Linked DNA regions of Arabidopsis thaliana. The protein of the gene in region 2 interacts with the protein of the main gene of each other region in a pairwise test. Each region holds a gene or a part of one and is shown on either strand. Other genes may lie near its edges.

Evidence for each region.
Region 1: the proteins of CIPK19 (region 2) and AT3G17620 interact in a protein complementation assay, tested with the Arabidopsis thaliana proteins (one large-scale study listed by BioGRID).

Annotation. Positions count from the first base shown.
Region 1 is NC_003074.8:6,023,737-6,033,677, reverse strand, and holds AT3G17620 (F-box and associated interaction domains-containing protein), read left to right. Parts: upstream 1-5,983; coding exon 5,984-7,180; 3' UTR 7,181-7,232; downstream 7,233-9,941. Other genes in the region: AT3G17640 (Leucine-rich repeat (LRR) family protein), read right to left, coding at 95-1,285; CHX19 (cation/H+ exchanger 19), read right to left, coding at 1,905-3,107, 3,188-4,189, 4,280-4,477; AT3G17626 (structural constituent of ribosome), read right to left, coding at 5,184-5,303, 5,458-5,499; RBL14 (RHOMBOID-like protein 14), read right to left, coding at 7,505-8,293, 8,517-8,732; HYH (HY5-homolog), read right to left, coding at 9,093-9,291, 9,384-9,570, 9,644-9,707.
Region 2 is NC_003076.8:18,580,187-18,590,868, forward strand, and holds CIPK19 (CBL-interacting protein kinase 19), read left to right. Parts: upstream 1-4,489; 5' UTR 4,490-4,755; coding exon 4,756-6,207; 3' UTR 6,208-6,404; downstream 6,405-10,682. Other genes in the region: CIPK20 (CBL-interacting protein kinase 20), read right to left, coding at 6,895-8,214; DOG1 (delay of germination 1), read right to left, coding at 9,483-9,556, 10,059-10,469. UniProt on the Arabidopsis thaliana protein: CIPK serine-threonine protein kinases interact with CBL proteins. Binding of a CBL protein to the regulatory NAF domain of CIPK protein lead to the activation of the kinase in a calcium-dependent manner.

The DNA.
Region 1 (9,941 bases), on a different chromosome or scaffold from region 2:
AATGTCATACTTTTGTTTTGTCGATAACGCTTATGAAAAACTTTGTCATTTTTTGCAAATTTCTTTGAGAAAAATAACAAAGAAAAACTGATCTTTAACCAGTGGAGCTGTGATTATAGAATCTTGAACATTGTGAAGCAGGTCTTGAGAGCAGAGGTGCAACTTCGATCGGACACGTGGACAAACCAACGACTGGATCTGTCTCCATACAGTTATATGACAAACAGAGCGAAACAGAGTCTGGTAGTTGGAGACCAGAGTTCCAAGGGAATCTCGTGAAGTAGTTATGTTGCAAGAAGAGCTGTTTTGTTGTACCGTTGATTAAGCTCTTGACGTATTCCTCTGGAATGTCTCCAGTGAGACGGTTGTTGTTCAAGAACAAAGCCTCTGCTCCGACAAGCGCGGGAGTTAGCTCTCCGGAGATTGAGTTATGGCTCAGATCAACAATGGAGCCCTCAGGTAACAATGACGTGGCGTTTGAGGTGGCAATGGATGTGAAGTTGTTTCGTTGTAGGAACATTGTTGAGATTGTGGGACTAAAGAGTGAGCTAGGGATTGCGCCGGTAAATTGGTTCATGCTTAGATCGATGTATATTAGCTCTGTTAATGGCTCCATGGCATTGATTGTGCCCTGCATTGAGTTTCCGGATAGAGATAAGTACCGGAGAGTAGTCGGGAAAGCGGGTGGGAGTTGGCCGGAGATTTGGTTCATCTTTAGGTCTAAATGGAACAATGGGCTAGAGACAGGCTTAAGGTTGTTGGAGAAATGGTTTGAGGCTAAAACAAGGACTTTGAGTCGAGGAAGAGTGGTGAGAAAAGGAGGGAGAGAGCCAGAGAGTTGGTTATAGCTAAGGTCAAGAGTGTGGAGATTTGAGAGAGATGAGAAAGATACGGGTATAGGACCGGTTAAACGGTTTCTTGTTAAGGAAATGACTCGAAGGAGAGGGAGGGAATCGAACCGAGGAGGGAGAGGACCGGTGACTGAACCGGGGTAGAGAATGAGTTGGGTTAAGTGGGTTAGAATGGAGATGGAAGGGGAGAGAGAGCCTGAGAGATTAGGGCCAAGAGTTAAGCCGGTGACACGGCCGCGAGAAGAGCAGGTAAGGCCAGAGAAGGAGGAACAAGGGTCAGGAACTGTGAAGTCCCAAGAGGAGAAGAAGGCTGAACCGGGCATGTCGGTTAAAGAGTCTCTGATGGATTGGAGCGCGGCTCGATCCGTAGGAGCTAATGAAGAGAAAGTGGAGTGGACAAGAGAGAGCAAAAGGAGAAAGAAAGTGTAGCTCATGTTTTTGTTTTTGAGAGTTGTTTTCTTCTCTTTGTCAATGAAGTTGGTGTGAGATTTTTAAAGAAGAGAAGAGAAGAGAAGAGAGAGCGTGAGAGAGAGTAATAATGAAGTACACAGCATGTGTGTGTGTGATAGACAGTGAGTGAATGTTAACGTTATGGATTCTTGTTCGAAAATGTGTTAGTTTATTTATTAGTGACGTCTCTTTTGACTCTTGTCGGTGTCATTGGCGGTTGTGGTCCCTTTTTGCATTCATATCTCTTCAGGAGGTAATTTAAGATTAGACATTTTTCCGTTTGTTACATTTTTTCTGAATAACAATGAACACATTACACCCTAAAAAGGTATGTAGGTGACACCATCATGGGCAAGGATACATTCCATGGTGATGACTAGAAATGTTGGATCTTAAAAATATTATTCCTTTGATCATTCAAGGCAAAATATTAAGAAATTACAGGTCGATTTTCATGCCCACAAATCTAATGTCAACCATCAATTTAAGGAAAATAGAAAAAGAACAATGGAGACACTCCAAGTCCCAACCAAAAAGAATATCAAAATATTTCATGAGACAAAAAAAAAAACAGAGAAATTTTGTTTTTATAATAAAATCCGTTCAGGCAGTTAAGTCTGAAATATCTCTGGAAGACTGATCGTACTCTGCATCTTCCTCAACGAGCGGTCGTGTATCTGCTGCTGGATCATATCCCTGAACGACGAGCACCGACGCGGTGGTGGAAAACTCTGATGACGACAACAAGCGTCCAACTGGTCCTAACTCTGGACAGTCTGTACTCTTAACCAACGATGCAACAGCTGCATTTCTTCCAACGACGAAGAGATTGCATTTACTCATCGATTTAAGTGTCGCGATGATATCGTCTTTGCTCTCAACGACTCTTTCCTCGTAAGCCAATGACTCATTTCCTCTTGGATCATTCATCAACTCCCTCACAAACTCTTCGTCAGTCTCTTTCTCTTTTTTCTCCTTTTCGTCGTGTTCACTCTTCTCGAATCTCTTCAATGTTCCTCTCGCAGCTACAAATTTGTAAACAGTTAGTGTGATTCCTGGATGTTCCACCATTTTCATCCCGTATGCGAGAGCTTCTCGGTCGTCGAGGCCTCCAAAGAATGGAATCACGACTTTGTAAGCCACTTCGCTGGCTACAACCTGTGAGGTTCCTCCGAGTCCTCTGTCCACAAGAATCCCGACTGAGCAAGGAGCTCGTTGCAAGACCCGTTGGTTCACTTCATGGAACCTATGTCCTATTGACTCCATCGCTCCGTCCATTCTCTGATGCTTGTGAAACGGAAGCAGTATCATCGCTACTCGTTTCTGATGCGCGCTTGTGCATATGTCCTCGTGGATGCTGCTGAGGCCAGAGATTGCAGTCATGGGTCTAACCGCTACTGCTCGTAGATGCTGGTAAGCCTCGAAGGCAATCACCATCTGGTCCGTTGATCTCTCGATCTTATTCCAGATTGGGAGACCATTGTTTCGAGCTTTGTGAACCATCGCGATCGCTGATGACCGTTCAGAAAGCTCCATCAGATGCATCGCGTAAACGCAGAGGCGTCCCTTTTTGCCTGTTCCTCTTGATGATTCGATCAGATTGATCAATGTGGGGATGTTACGGGTACTGTGGAAGCAAGCAAGTATCCTTAGCTCAGAATCATGATCTTTTCTTTGGATGGTTCTGTGCTTGTACGGTGCTCCTTTTCTTGCAGGCTTGTAAATAAGCATCACAATTGGAGTTGTGATGAAGGTTGTGAACAATGCCATTAGGACTAAGATCGCAAATGCTTGATCATTCAGCACCTGCTCACAAAAATCGTTATTTAGATAACTCGGCTTTTAAATGTTTTATAAGTCTTATTATGGCTTTCAAGAATCTATACCTTCCGGTCCTTGCCAATGTTAAGAACAATGAGCTCTACTAAACCTTTGGTATTCATAAGGAATCCAAGTGTCACGGCTTCTCTGAAAGGAACCTTGCAGAGCATCGAGGAACCAACTGTTCCTACAATCTTCCCGAAACAAGTGGTGAGAATGACAAGAACTAGAAGTCCCCATGACTGTGCTCCCCTGATCGTTGTTACATCAGTTTTGAGACCGCTAGCCGCAAAATACAGAGGTAGAAGAAGCCCCGAAACAAGATCCTCTATCTTCTCAGTCAAAATCCTGCAAAATGGTCCTTCTTTAGGAGCTACTATACCTACCACAAACGCCCCGAACAGCGCGTGTATCCCAATAGTGTCTGTCACAAAGCTTGCTGCTAAAACCACGGTTAGAGTGACACAAACATAGAGTTCCTTTACAGGCTCTCCCTCAGGACAGCGTCTAGCCATATAAGCAAGCAGAGGTTTGATTGCCACAACTGCAAAGATCACGAATCCAGTTCCACAGAGAAGAACCCAAACAGATACAAGAGGAGAAGTCCCATCTCCTGAGAGAGCAATAGCAAGCGCAAGGAGTATCCAAGCTGCAACATCGTTTACTCCCGCTGCAGACATTGCCATACGTCCAATGTCAGTTGTTAGAAGCTTTAGCTCAGCTAGTATACGAGCAAGCACAGGGAAGGCAGTGATTGATAAGGCAACACCCATGAAGACAATAAAAGGAAGCTGATCGACTCCTTTGCTTATGGTGGCACTGAGAACAAAAGATGTGCCTACACCCACTATAAAAGGAAGTGAGATCCCAGCTATGGCTATCAATAGTGATTTCTTTCCAGTTTTTTTTATTGCTGCAAAGTCAAGCTCAAGCCCAACTAGGAACAAGAAAAACAGAAGACCAATGTTGGCGAGTGTGTCTAAAACGGTCAAGCTCTTCTTTGGGAAGATGGTGTCAAGATAGGCCTTGCTTCTCCCTAGTGCAGAAGGTCCAAGCAGTATCCCTCCCTACAGAACCATCCCTTTTAGTCTCTTTTGCTATGTGATTTCATCAAAACAGAAAAAGAAAAATACAAAGAGATTGAGTAGGAAACTCACAATGATCTCAGCAATGACTCGGGGCTGTTTGAGAGGCTTAAGAAAGTAAGCTAAGAGCCTTGTAAACACAACCACCAAGACGATTTGTAGGATGATAAGAGGAAGCGCGAAATCAAGAGGGCTTTCGTTTTGGAAGGCTCCATTGGAGGTAGCCTTCATTGGACCCGGGCATTGCCCTGTAACGTTGGTGCTTGCCATCCTAGTGGAGATCTACTTACAGGTTGATGATTGGTCAAGAAACGAGATACTGCTTCACCCTTCAATACTGCCTTGGCTGCTCCCTCATTGCATTGCCAAACGAAGTATGAGACCTGAATGGGAGGAAAAAAAAGAAATCAAGATTTTATTCTGTTCTGTTACTGTTTTTATTAAACAGAATCTACATTAAAGAAGTGAGTATATAAAAGGAAAAAACAGAAAACTAATAACGTCTATAGTTTGCTAATAATAGGTAGATGAGATAGAAGCGGACATACCAACTCCAGGGTGGGCATATACCTCGCACTTTTCTATTTATAGACTATCAGTTACTTAACTTCCAACCATATCGCATCTATACTTCGCAGATATGAACTGCCTTCACTGCGCCGAAGTTTTCGTCTCTGTCTTTGTCCTTCTGTCCTAAATTTGCAAGCACTTGTACCTGTCTCTTAACTAAGCAGCACATTTGATGTCTTACCTTCTGAAGCTTTGTAAACATCAACCATTTTCAAATATATTATCATCGTATAGACGATATAAACATTCTTGAGATGCATAAGTAGTAAGAACAAATGAACACATTAAAAAGGAAGAAGTTAACACTGTTCCAAGCCGACTAATCTAAATTTCAATCATGGGTTCTATACAAGCAAATTTCTGAGAAGGACAAAACAAAAAAAGACTTAAAATTGGAGACCGTGTTCTATTTGCTGAAGCAGCTAAAGCCATGGTAAGTGTAAATTGCACGGTCAAAGGCCACCTTTGTGATCCCATTCTCTACGCAGGATTTTTCTATAACTTCTCCAACTTTCTTAGCCATTTCCTAATCAATTCCAAGAAGAATCAAAGTTAGACAGTGTCCAAGAGAAAAACAATTGAAGCTAAGGGTCTCATGCTAAAACTTGAAAGGTTTCGGCTAGAGAATTTTGTAGATAGATTGTAGTTGAATTCAAAGCAGGTGGTAGTGAAGAACTCACAATGGTAGAACCAGTGAGCAAAAGATACAGAGCCTTGGCCATGGTCTGAGAATTGAAGGAGCTTTAAGCCACCGTACTGAATTGGAATCGGCGTCGAGGCTGTTCTCAGCGAGCTCAGACGCTGGATTACATCACCCTCTATATTTTGTAGGTTTCGAATCTTCGGTGGCTCTCTCGGTTCAATCGCCGCAGTCGGAGAGGAGAGTCTTCCTCCTCCATCTCCACCGCAAGAAGCGACCGTCGATCATCTCCCCCGCCATATACAAATGAGAATCACTAAAAAGTTTTTAACTACAGTTGGGCTAAAAGCCCAATAATAAAGCCCATAAATGAAACGACATCACAGTCATATAAATAAGAGTTCAAAAAGATGAATAATTCCGGGAAATTTTTAGAGGGCAGAGTTGTGTTTCGGCCCAGCTTGAGTTAGGGTTCCTGTGGGGAAACATGAGAGCTTTTTACTGAAGTTTCAAACCTAACTAATTTGTGTTACATCGATCCTTGTTCAAATTTGAAAGATTTGAAGATGATGTCCGATCTTCCAAGAGATTTGTTGGAGGAGAGACTCTCTAGGGTTCCGGTGAAATCATTGAGAGAAGCGCGATTTACCTGCAAAAATTGGAAAACATTATCCAAAAAGCGGAGCTTTACAAAGAAGCACCTTGCTCAGGAAGCAACATCAAGGGAAAGTGAGTTTAAGGTTGTCATGGTCTTGCATTGTAAGGTTTATCTAACGAGCATCAACCTCCGTGGAATTCACAACGGCTTTGACCCGTCTATAAACCGTCAAGCTAAACTTGTTAGCCTAAACGGTACAGATCAGATCGATATATCTGAAGTATATCACTGCGACGGTTTACTGTTATGTATCTCGAAAGACTACACTAGGGTCGTGGTTTGGAATCCGTATAGGAGCCAAACTTTGTGGCTCAAACCCAGTAGTCCTGACCATAGAATGGACTGGTATATCTGTGCTATAGGATACGAGAAGCGTAAATCAAGCCTACGCTACAAAGTTTTGCGATTCGTTGATTTTGCCGAAGAAGAATTTGTTGAGTACGAAATATACGAGTTAAAGTCTAATTCATGGAGGGTTCTCGATGTCACTTCCGACTGGGAAGTAGAGTTTTATGCACGAGGTGTCTCTCTCAAGGGAAATACTTATTGGTTTGCTACAGACAAGTTTCCAGAAATCAGCAGTAATCTTATACATAGTGTTTATTTCTTGCTCTGTTTTAATTTTACATCGGAGAGATTTGGGCCGCGTCTTCATTTGCCGTGTTACCCTATGGATGTAGATACTGTGAGTCTTTCTAGTGTTAGAGAAGAGCAACTTGCTGTGTTATTTCAGCGTAAGGACAACTTACATATGGAGATTTGGGTTACGACTAAGATTGAACCTGAAGAGGTGATGTGGAGCAAGTTGTTCTTAGCAGTGGATATGCAACCACTCACTGATTTTAAGTTTGGAATTGCAGATGCGAGTTTCATCATTGACGAAGAGAAGAAAGTTGTTGTAGTCTTTGCTAAAGACAAAGATGTAATGTATCCCACTCACAACACAGCTTACATCATTGGAGAGGATGGATATTACAAAGAAGTGGATCTCGGAAAAACTACTGATAAAATTCGAGATCCACTTGTGTGCTCGTATGTTCCAAGCTCAGCGCAAATCAAGCAAGGAGGCAAAAGGAAGAAAAAAGGGAAATTGATTACTGATTAACATTTATATCTTGCTTTGTGATCTTCTTCTTTCAACAAAATTTGGTTTGAAATAGGATAAAATTTTGTTAAAATCGAAAGTCTGTGAAACTGTAAGTTTGGTGTGAAGATACTATATTATCTGAATCACTCGCTACTTTCAGCAATCTAATCAAAGGACCAGTTCACGTAGAACCAAATCTTCAACAACAAAAGAGAAGACAAATTGAAGAAACAGATCGAAAAACACGACCACTAACTCTGCTATTCATAAGCTAATGCAATGAATGATTCAACAAAGCTTCATTCACAATCCTTCCTCAGCTTTAAGAATGCGCTCCCGAGATCAACTAAACCTCTCTACTCTTCGACGGCGCAGCTCATCTAAAGGGAGATCATTAGAAGAAGAAAGTGCTGGTCCCTGATTCAGTGACCATCCATTTCCTCTAGCCCGTCCCGAGCCACACATCTCGCAAGCACTTAACCAACCAGAATTGTCATATGTACACGACTGACATCTCCAAATACCAGGTCCTGCTATCCCAGTCTGACCTCTTCCCACTCTTCCTCTCCCCGTAATCCTCCTTCTCCGAGACCTAACCATACCATTCAGAAACCTCAAGGGCCACGTCACCAATCGAGATACACCTCTAACCGCCATAGTGACTGGATCTGAGCCTGAGTAAGAACCTTTCAGCTTCAAATAGATAATACCAGCAAGGATTCCACCCAAATGCCCAAGAAACGAAGCGTTAGGTACAAACATCTGCACTAGAATCAATTCTGCCCAAGCAGCATACTTTGTTGGAACCAAGATACCATACACACTTGAGTAATCCTCAGCTTGAGAATTAAGAACAACTTTCATAGCAAAGAGAACACCCGAGAACCCAACCGCATACTCGTTGTAGTAAGCTCTGTCATAGTCAAACAAGAGAAGAAGCGATTTGGCTAACAACAATGTGACTCCTTGAGACATACCAATAAGAGTAAAGACCATTGAAGCAAACTCACTGCTTCCCATTGATGTCTCAAGCTTGATACCTTTCCAGAGAAGTGACATCATGTTATAGACTAAGTGAGGCTCGTTAACATGGTAGAACGCTGATAGAAATAAACGCTTCAAGTCCTTATGCTGTTCAACAAATACACATCAAGATTAAAAAAAAAAACTTTAACAGAGAATAGAATTAATCAATCAAGAATGATCTAATTAGATATCGAAGAACAAAATCCCTAATTCTCCAGATATTGGTACAAATTTCCCAGGAAACTCAAATTCGAATTTCAGATCGAAATCGGTCAAATTGCAATCAATTTCTCTTGGCGAATGAAGGAATTTATTAAGATTGGTTTACCTTGAAGATGAGGTGAGGATTGAACCAGACCTCACTGATGTGAGGAATAACGGGATCGATAAACGCCGGCCTGAGATAAACGAGAGTGTTCGCGGCCAGGAGACTCGCCGTCACCGGTGGTTTCCACGGTAGTCTATAGTACTCCGCGACGGCGCTTAGAGCCAGCAACGGCAACATTCCGCCTCCACTTCTTCTCCCTTCACCAAAATTCTCCATTTCTTCGTAATTATTCTTTTCTTCTGATCTCTCTGAATCACTTACAAGTAATTAAAATCTCATCTCTTTCACAATATTTATATAGCAGCAGCTTGGTCTCTACGAAAACAAATTCTCCAGAGACTTCTTCGTTTCACTCGCATAAGAACATGTGGGACCCACCACGGCATTTTAGAACTCTAGTTTTTATACCTAATCTCTTCTTGCCTTTTTTCGTTTTTTTTTACTTTATTTTGCAAATCTGAATGACAATGATGCTCAAAGTGAATGTTATTCGAACAAAAAGTGTATACAAACCAAAACCAAAAAAGAAAGAAAGATAATCATACAACACTGAACAATGGATTAAAGGGTAAATATTTAGTGATTGTCATCAGTTTTAGGCCTTGTGTTAATAAGCATTTTACGAAGCATTGTGTTCTCGTTCGTCAAAGTAGAAATCTTCTCTTCGAGCTGGTCATTGTTGTTCTGTAACTCATTAGCTCTTGATTCCAAATCACTCACATACACTTTCTTCCTCTCTCTTGCTTGTTGCGCTGATACTCTGTTCCTCAATAATCTGTAATTTTTCACCACAGTTTCTTTTTTACCATTTCAATTCCACAAATCGAATGCTAAGAAAAAAAAGTTTTTTTACTCATCATTGATTACCTCTTGAGGCTTCTATATTCTTTATCAACAGGGTTTCTTCCACGGCGGCGTTTAGCTGTAGAGACTCCATTTTGAGTCTGGTCAAGCTCCGGATTGTTGACTCCATCGTCGGCGCTGCTGCTTAGAACACATGTTGATCCAGCTGCTTCCATGTCAGGAACCATCAACAACTCCTCATCACTTTCCTCTGAGAATTATACAAACCAATTTCTCTAAACCAAATTAAGTTAAATATTAGATAAGTTTCTTTCAACACCTACCAGTTTTGTGCTTCTTGTGGGAAGAAGACGAACTCGAGTTCCCATTGGGTCGTTGGAGAGACATCAATATCTTTTTGTCTTTTGAGATTTTGCTAAAGACGAGAATAGAGAGGTAAGAGGTTGAAGAGAATATCAAACCAAAGGAAATTGCATCTTTTCTTTCTTCTTTGGGGCCACTCAAAGTCTGCAACTCGTTTCAAACAAAAAAAAAGAGAAAAGTATTGGTTGGCTTATAAAAGAACACGTAGGTTTATGTAAGACCACAAATGCAACTGTTTCAATCCAATGGTGTGTATCT
Region 2 (10,682 bases):
TTTTTTTTCAATCATGGACAATCTGTATACTTCAAAAAAGGATAATCTCAGATAGGCAATATATTGAATTTAGTCTAATATTACGAAAGACATGCATCAATCATTATACTACTAGTACTATATAATTGTCCATTAGTATGAAAATGAAAAAAAAAAATCGGTGTAAACTGTGGAAATTGATTTACAGTTTGAGGTAAGACTACTAGCTTGTCATTATATACAAGAGACGTGTTTAAAACTTCAGTCACATTCAAACCATAATACAAGTAAAGAAACAGTATATAAGAGAAATTAACTAAAAACATTTATCAACAAAGAATCATTATATTGGATTAACTAAATTCTTAATATGACACTATTTTAGGATTGCATGTGATATTTTTTTCTGAAAATAATTGCATGTGATATTAAAGTGCAAAAATCAAAATACAGATGAATATCAACGTTGTCATATATATGCAACAATTTGTGTATTTATAACATTACGATGGAGATGAAAATGCTACTTTAATTGGCAGTATATATTTTCTGTTGTTGTTGTTTATGGGTTTGAAACTCAAGTGAAGTAAGCAAAGAGGTATATGGTTGGTGCGATGACTTTGTGTGGTAGTTTGATGCAGATGATGCGAAATAGAAACGTGGACCCTATCTTTTAACAAAATTTATTAAATTATCTATTTTCATTCGATGTTGTATCCTAGGTGTAATTTTGCATATCCTTAAATTATAAATAAAACGTGTTTTAAAAAATTTACGTATGTCTTGTAGTAAATGCTTATATTTATTACCATCGGTTATTTGTTGATGGGGTTGGTTGAAAAGTAAATAATGGTGTAGTTGAATCAAACAAAACAACAGTGTACTTTTTGAATAAAAAGATTTATTCGAGTCTACTGTTTTGATCTAACATTTCGGTTATTGAATATCAAAATTTACATTTAACTTATTTCAATAGGATTAACTTTTTTATTACATTATTTCATTAGGACTAACTTTTTAATTACATTAGCTGCGTAAAGCTTGATTATATTGATAAGTATGTAGTTATATAGATGTCCAAAACATTCCCATGAGAAACCACGAAAATTCAAAGTTGCGTTGAATGATATGAATATTAAACTCTATTTGGGGTGTTAGTGTGTTACTATTTTGAAAGATTCAAACATTTGCAAATTTAATGAATTAAAGAAATGTCCGCCGGAGAAAGACTATAGTTTAATGTATTAATGGACATAAGCCAGTGTCTAAATATACGCCGGAGTATATGGTACATCCACCAAGGAGATCGGTTGGATCGGATTATGTGGAAGCATATTTTATCAAGACATTATTTATTGTTTTTAATACATAAACTCGAAGTTTAGACTTAAATCTTATATCCAAAATATGCAAAAAACCGGGTTTTCAAAATTATTACATCTTTAGAAACTTAAATTGTTTTCCATACAAAAAAATTAATAAAACTTGTAGATTGGATGACTTGATAACCACCGGAAAACAATTTCACCACTCAAAATTGAAAACTGGTGGTTACATAATTCTTTAGTTAAATTACTTAAACTTTTAAGAGTTTTAGTCAAAATATATATCCAAATGCATGCGGTTGATTGTGCTTGTAGTTGTCTAAGAAAAACATATAATAACCCCCATATTCCTGTTTATATTTCATTGTTATGATATTGGTGTTTAGTTGACAAACAAAAAAAGTTCTTTTGGTATTAGATCTCCTACAACAAAAGTCTAGATTACGTCAAGACATTTGTGTATTAATTACATATAAATTTCATGATGTCTAAAAATTGAACTCGACCAACACTATTAAGTTAAGTTATTAAATAAGAACTAGCAAGTCATTTTCTCATCTTTTACATATTGCAACAATGTGTTTGTGAAAACGCAAAATGATTGATGTACGTATACTTCGGCCATTTTTTCTTGTCGTGATGGCAGGATTTAAATTCTCCAAAATTCAATTCACTTATATATAAACGGTTTTATTTCTGATCCATCCAATTTTTGTTTTCCATTAGTAAAGCATTGAATTTCCTAAAAACTTTCACAATTAGAACATCATGGTGTAAATATTTAAGTCTAACAACACGTAATTATTGTGAAAGTAATGTGCTGCAAATGGGTTGTATTAAATAAGCTTGGAAATGGAAGAACAAAATGGTTTTACTGTATATTAAAAATACCTTGTCATAACAACTAATTTAAAATGAAGAAAATTATGATCTTGGGAAATTCCAAACAAATCCACTAAATCCCAAGACAAAAAGATCCATAGAATGCCAACTAATATTCCACAAAGTATCTAACACATTCACATTCTCCTTGAGCAACCCAACCTAAAAGTTAATCCACATTCTTTATTTTATCATTTTAACCACTCACACCAACATTGTTGGTCCATGTGCTTGCTTATATGTGTGTGCGATCTCTTTGTTCTATTTTAATGTTATTGGGTTATTCTTATGTTACTGCTGGATCTTTGACATGATGATCATTTGTATCAGCGTTGCCTCTATGTGATAATCAAAATTTAAACTAATTGTATATGTATGTGAATTGTGGGCAACGTAAAAGAAATTTATGCAATTTCCGTACTACCTAACTTGATGTTGGGAGATCGATGAGAGCGACTCAAACTGAATCATTCTCATTAATCTTCCAACACTTGATTATTATCCTCAATATAAACAATCACGTTAAGAAATTGCAAACTGTTTTCTTTTAAGAAAATTAGAAAGACGGTTTTTAAGGAGGAACTAGATTGTCAGTATTTTATTTTTTTATTTTGGCTAACAAAATAATACTTCTTTATTTATAATTAAACCATTGACTGAACTGACCGGACTATATAAGTTATGTTTTACAATGGCGCAACTATAATTTGATATGTTGTATCAACTTGTAAAATCAATCAAGTTTTGAATCCGGAGTCATCTGATTAAGGTAAAGATGTACATTTTAAGTTTTAATAGAGCAAAAATCTCAATTTTGCAATAGATAAATTGTTATAGATAAAAACAATTTTTAGGCCGAAATTCATTCATTTTGGACTTTCAGGCCAATTATAGAGTTAAATTCCAGTCCATTTTGCTGGTCCATGATTAGGTATGGACCTAAATCTCTCTTTTTTTGGCAAGCCCAGTCTAAAAAGAGAAAATACAATCCAGCCCAATTGACTAAATCTCTCTGTTTACATGACCTATTTTTGGTGACAAATTTTAACAATCTGTTTGGAGAAACAGTTCACATGGATAATTTTGTCAACAAAGAAGAAAGAATTGAGTAAATTGCTCTACTTCACACCTGTCAAAAGAGGTTAATTCACCAACTACATGTGTGACCTGATACGTGCACGTTATTATCAATATGTACGTCTAAAAAACCTTAAGAGTTTGAATATTCGTATTTCGTAACACTCTCAATATTCAAATATTATCAAAAATAAAATAAAATATTATCAATAAGATTTGTTAGTTGGGTTGGGTAATCTATCAAATACACTAATACAGCAAATCATTTCAATTTCACGACAAGTGGAAACTTTTCATTATGTCACTTTGCTTAAATCTTCACCGACCATTATGTCACTTTGCTTATATGTAAACCTTTGACTTACAATTTGGTTTTCTAATTAAAAAAACAATTAATGAAAAACTGTAATTTGACCTGACTAGTAAGTTAGTAACTCAAGACAAATAAACACCAAAAAGGAATGAAAATAAAATTTATGTATATTATTTTATTAATTTTATGATTTCATGCAAAACAGATTGTGAATGATTTGTAATCATATTTCGAAAACGTCAAAATGTGAAGAAATTACATACAATATTGTTGAGTTTTCTAATTAGGTGATACTTCAATTTTGGAATTAGTCATGTGCTAGAATTAAGTACGTGTCTACTAATCTACTAATATATCAGTTATGTGGTGTAAACTTTTAAAGCTCTATACTTTCTTAATATGTAGTATATTATCGAAGGATCAATGTTGACATTACGATGATAATGACATTTACGATTGTAATTGAATATTCTATAATGCCAAGATGTGATCATTTTCGTTTCTTACTCTTTCATAAAATTCTTTTGGTGTTTTAGGGACCTTTCAAAGAGACTGCGTTTCTAGGTCTTAGATTCGAATCTTGATGCTTGGAAATGATTAGTTCTTGATCTCAGTGATTACGAGTCCAAGACTCAAAACACTTTGGTTTAAACTTTTTTTTTTTTTTTTTTTTTACTTATATTCCATTTCCATTGTTTCTATATCTATGGAAATGAAAAATAATTCATTGATCTTTTCTATCTAAATAAAAAAATTCTCCTTCGGTTTCAAATTATTTTTTATTGTTTGTATTAGAAACAATCAATTTTTCTAACATAGTATTAGTTTTTTAAGCATTTAAAGCAAAAAAAAAAAAAACAGTTGACCAATAGGCTATATATATGTGTTGGTGGTATACAAAAAGTGAGATTTATTTGTATACCAATTCTGAAACATTTCCAAATATACCACAAGAAAAATCCTATTTCTGGAAAAAGCCCTAAAAACAGAACAGAGGAAGACGAGAAAAACAGAGAAAGAGAGAGAGAGAGAGAGAGATCGTCTTCTTCTACAACCTCTCAATAATCAAACAAAAAAACGTGTTTTTTTTTTTTTTGCGAATTCGATCTTCGATCAAGAAGATCTTGATCTCAAAATCCAAACTTTTCTTCACCATTTCATGAGAATCTCTCGCTTTCAATGGCGGATTTGTTAAGAAAAGTGAAATCGATAAAGAAGAAGCAGGATCAGAGCAATCATCAAGCTCTGATCCTTGGCAAATACGAAATGGGTAGGCTTCTTGGCCACGGAACCTTCGCTAAAGTCTATCTCGCACGAAACGCTCAATCTGGAGAAAGCGTAGCGATCAAGGTAATTGACAAAGAGAAAGTTCTCAAATCCGGTTTAATCGCACACATCAAACGCGAGATCTCGATCTTGCGCCGTGTTCGTCATCCTAACATCGTTCAGCTATTCGAAGTCATGGCGACGAAATCTAAGATCTATTTCGTAATGGAATATGTTAAAGGAGGTGAATTGTTCAACAAGGTAGCTAAAGGAAGGTTAAAAGAAGAAATGGCACGTAAATATTTTCAACAGTTGATCTCAGCCGTATCGTTTTGTCACTTCCGTGGTGTTTATCATCGAGATTTGAAACCGGAGAATCTTCTTTTAGACGAAAATGGAAACCTAAAAGTCTCTGATTTTGGTCTTAGTGCTGTTTCTGATCAGATTCGACAAGATGGGTTATTTCATACTTTTTGTGGGACCCCTGCTTACGTGGCACCGGAGGTTCTTGCTCGGAAAGGCTACGATGGAGCTAAAGTCGATATTTGGTCTTGTGGAGTGATCTTGTTTGTGTTAATGGCAGGGTTTCTTCCTTTTCATGATCGGAATGTTATGGCTATGTATAAGAAGATTTACAGAGGAGATTTTAGGTGTCCGAGATGGTTTCCGGTTGAGATTAACCGGTTATTGATTCGAATGTTGGAGACTAAACCGGAGAGACGGTTTACAATGCCGGATATTATGGAGACTAGTTGGTTCAAGAAAGGTTTTAAGCATATTAAGTTTTATGTTGAAGATGATCATCAGCTTTGTAACGTTGCTGATGATGATGAGATCGAATCGATTGAATCGGTTTCGGGGAGGTCTTCTACGGTTTCTGAACCGGAAGACTTCGAGTCTTTTGATGGGAGGAGAAGAGGTGGTTCGATGCCTAGACCGGCAAGTTTGAATGCTTTCGATCTCATTTCGTTTTCGCCAGGTTTTGATCTTTCGGGTTTGTTTGAGGATGATGGTGAAGGATCTAGGTTTGTGTCTGGTGCTCCTGTTGGTCAGATCATTTCTAAGTTGGAGGAAATCGCGAGGATTGTGAGTTTTACTGTGCGAAAGAAGGATTGTAAAGTGAGTCTTGAAGGTTCAAGAGAAGGAAGTATGAAAGGTCCATTGTCAATTGCTGCTGAGATATTTGAACTGACACCAGCTTTGGTTGTTGTTGAAGTGAAGAAGAAAGGAGGTGATAAAATGGAGTATGATGAGTTTTGTAATAAGGAGTTGAAACCTAAGTTGCAGAATTTGTCTTCCGAAAATGGCCAACGGGTTTCTGGTTCGCGTTCTTTGCCATCGTTTTTACTTTCTGATACTGATTAGGAAGATGAAAAATGAAGTTTTTGTTTCTGTTTTATTAGTTTTGTGACTCATATGTGGGGTTAACGACTTGTAATGTTCTTGTTCTTTGATGGTGTGTGAGAGACATTAGAATTTAGACCTAAAGAGAGTGGTGAGATATGAATCATTGATGTGTAGAAAACACAGATGGAATAAACAAGTTTCTTTATGAGTTTGCTTCTTTTTTTTCTTTCTTTTTCCTTCTTTTGAATTTTAATTCTGTTAGTTTGAAATATGACAGAAATTCACTTAGAACAAGATTGTGTAATTTCTGTTGGAAATTTTGTCTACTAACGTCAATTAATATGACGGTTTATGATATATAATTGAACATGTAGAGTTTACAAAAACAAAATCTTGAGAAGAAAGTTTAGCATTATAATCCAAGCCACACCATTAGCTAATCCAAATTTGTGTTGTTCTTTTAAATATGTTATATTCTAGTCATGCACCTTTAACCATAAACAATTTATTAATCCATTTATTTCTGTCACTTTTCTTTACTTCAAATCTTTGTGTAACTATTGACCCCAATTAATTAAATAAATAAATCAACAACAATCTAAGATATGTGATGATGATTGCAGCCATTATCATAAATCTCATCTTTTACACGGAGATCTAAAGAAAAACAACCAAATCCAGAAAAATATAAGATGAAAAACACATTTAATGTATCACTTCAATCTTCTCATTGTTGCTATTGTTGTTGTTTCCTTGCCATTTCCAAACAATATCTTTCAAAGAAGGCCTAAGCTCACGATCACAAAATTGCTTATACTCCATTGTATCACCTCCACTTTTCTTAAACTCAACCATATGAAAACTATTTGTCACTTCAAATATCTCAACATCAATCGCAAGATGTCCTTTTCTTCCTTCTCTCTTATCTTCCATCTTCACTCCTACATCGCTCTTCGTCAAATTGAATCTCTCACTACTTGTTGCTATCTCCTCGAATTTCGACACTATCTCTTTTGCATCTTTCTTCGTTGTAAACTTCGATTCTGATCTCTCTTCTTTCTCAAACAAACCCGAGAGATCGAATCCTTGAGACAGCGAAGAGATCAAGTCAAACGCGTTGTAAGACATCGGTTTTACGGAAAAAGCTGCGTGGACATCGCTGATCAGTGAGTCGATCTGATGACTTTCGGGAGATTTAGGCGTTTCGATCTTCTTGAAACCCTTTTGAAACCAGGAATTCTCCATGATTTTTTCAATCTTGATTCTTGAATTAGGGTTAGGGTCAAGAATCCGAGACAACAACTTCTTGACCTCGGGAGGAAACCAATTCGGACATTTGAATTCGCCTTTCGTGATTTTCCGATACATTTCCACAAGATTTTGCTCGTGAAACGGAAGAAATCCAGCCAATAGCACGTACAACACAACCCCGCAAGACCAAACATCGGCTTTAGCTCCATCATAACCTTTCTTGCCTATCACTTCAGGTGCCACGTAAGCAGGTGTTCCACATGTCGTGTGAAGCAAGCCATCTTGCTGCTTCGACTCCCTCAACGCGCTAAGGCCAAAATCCGATATTTTCAAATCGCCGTTTTCGTCTAGAAGAAGATTCTCCGGTTTGAGATCGCGGTGGTAAACTCCGCGGCTATGGCAATAATCGATTGCTCCGATCAATTGCTGGAAATATTTTCGAGCAATGTTTTCTTTAAGCTTTCCTTTAGAGACTTTATCAAAAAGCTCACCGCCTTTAACGTATTCCATAGCGAAATAGATCTTTGTCTTGCTCGCCATTACTTCATGGAGGAAGACGACGTGGGGGTGACGAACGAGACGCATCACTGATATTTCTCGTTTGATTTGATCGATTAATCCGACTTTCGCAACTTTCTGTTTGTCGATCACCTTGATCGCTACGCTTTCTCCTGTTTTTATGTTGCGTGCGTGGTACACTTTTGCGAATGTGCCTTGACCTAGAAGACGACCTAATTCATATTTTCGCATCAAAACTATGCCGTTTTTATCCATTTATTGACGCTTTTGAGGGAACAAAGGAACTTGATGAAAAAGCAGAGGATGAACTATTGATTAACTTCGTCTTGGAATGTGTTTCCCATGGCTTAGAAGAGATGGAGCTCAAATTTTGAAAATATCAATTATATTTTTTCTTCTTTTTTTTTGGGGTCTAAACCTTGCATATATCAAAATAGTAATGCTAAAAACAAATACAAGAGGAAAAGATCTTAGATTTGTGTGGTCGTGGTGATGCTTCGAGTGGGCTCTTCTAAATATAGTGGAGGCTAGTTGTTGTTAAATATTAGAATATCCCAGATTTTTGTGTGTGTATATAATAGATTTTGTAATTACAAATATATGTGGACTTCAATGCCGGTCCTGTCTGTAAATCTTAAGAATCATGATTCAAAATAAGAGTTGTCGCATAAAATGTCATGATACGAAAATAAGTGGAGGATAAATCTTGGAGTTGCAAATACAGATATGGATATGATTGTTAACATCGGCCAATTTTTACTCGGCCCGACCCACTACAAACCCAGGGAGGCAATCACTGAGGAATAAATAAATATGAAACATAGAAAAGTTGATCATGTTCATGGGGGCATCTAGAATTGTGTCATCTAGGTAGATTGCAATATATTTTTACAGTTATAAGAAGTGTTTTTGTAGGTTTTAGAGTGTTATTTTCATTTGAATGATTAGATTTGATCTCTTGCTATCTGTAGAAAAACTAGTATTCTTGGCGATTAAGATATTTTAAGTTATCAAATCGCATTGAAGAGACTCAAATCAATTTATAGAATGAATCATGTAAACATTATTCCACCATGAAGTGGTTACTTAGGTTTAATGTTATTTTAAAGTTAAAGAGCTTACTAATCGCGATCCAAACTTTAACCCTATAGTACATTTCACCACTATGAATACTTGAAATGTTGTGGAATCTTATCTCAAGTATAGAGCTTGGTTAGGTTTAATGAGTTAAGTTTGATATAAATTAAGTTAATATAGATACAGTTGAATTTTCGAAACTAGAACTCTTATTTTTACCAAATCTGCCAAGTCCATAAAAAAAAAGGATGCGTTCAATGAAAAAAAAAGGATGCTTCCAACAATTTATTTAGATACTCCACAATTTTCTTTATGAATATTCCCTACCACACAAAATAATAATGGAAAAATCTAAGAATATAAAAATCCAATGCAATCTTGGATAAAAATCTCCTAGCTGACTTGTCGAGACGAGATCATGTTGCTGCCACGTAAACACACAAATCTCAATTTCTCTCATTATTTGTCGTCTCCGTGGGGCGTGGGCCACTATTCACAGTTGTACATGCATCGAATATTACTGTATTTCGCAAAATGCCACGACGTGAATAAACTATAAAAAATAGAATAATTCAAATATATCTTCGATAAGTGATAAAATTTAAAACATCAAAATGTAACTTATAAATGATTTCTTATCCATTAACCAAAAAAAAGGTTATTTTTTATCCTTACAAACTACAATCTTATAACGAAACAATAATTATTATATAAGATTATATATAAAACTATATTTCTGCATTTAATAAAAAACAAAAGATCCATCTTATACAAAGCAAAATCTTAATTATTTATAATATAAACTAACATAACGCATTGCACCTTGCTACCATAAGTCTTCAGAAAATAAAAGTAACACACATACGGGTTATATATCCCTAGAATATATGCCAAATATATAACTTTATAATATCAAGATTGAAAACCTTGTTATTATGCAATTTTAAATATGACACGTACGTACCTATAGTATCATATCTAATATAATAACGACTACTTTCCTTCCTCTCCTCCGGCATTACCTTCGGTGTCAACCATACAGTCACGACGGCGACGATCTCTCATAGTTCCCCACTCATGCATCGAAAGATGAAGCTTTTTCCCAGCGAGCAAGAAATCCGCTCCTTGTACCGGAGATAGAATCCCGAGGATCTTCGCTAAAGTATCAACCCTTAGATTATCGGCCTCGACCAATAAACGAGCCATAGCTTCTTCTTGCTTGTCGAGAGCTTGATCCACCACTACGTTAGGCTCTCCGACATTCTCCATCTCGTAAGCCACAGTGGCGATGGGAATATCCGCTGCGTCTTCTTGTAGGCTTGAGACTTTCTTGGTCATCTTCTCTTCTTCGTCTATAATTTTTACATGCAACACATTGATTTTAGCTAGCTGCTCCGCACTTAAGTCGCTAAGTGATGCACCGCCGCCACCACCTGTCAAACCAAACCATATTGAACCAACCGAACCGAAACCATTAGAATTTTGGTATAGATCTATGGTTCGGAATCATTTTTTATGATTAATTTTATTTAAAAATAATAATATATTTGTATAATATATAGAACTGAACAAATTCCAAATTCAAACCGAACCCAACTTAATATAAAACCTAAGAATCTATTATTTTTGTCATAAGCAAAATGAAC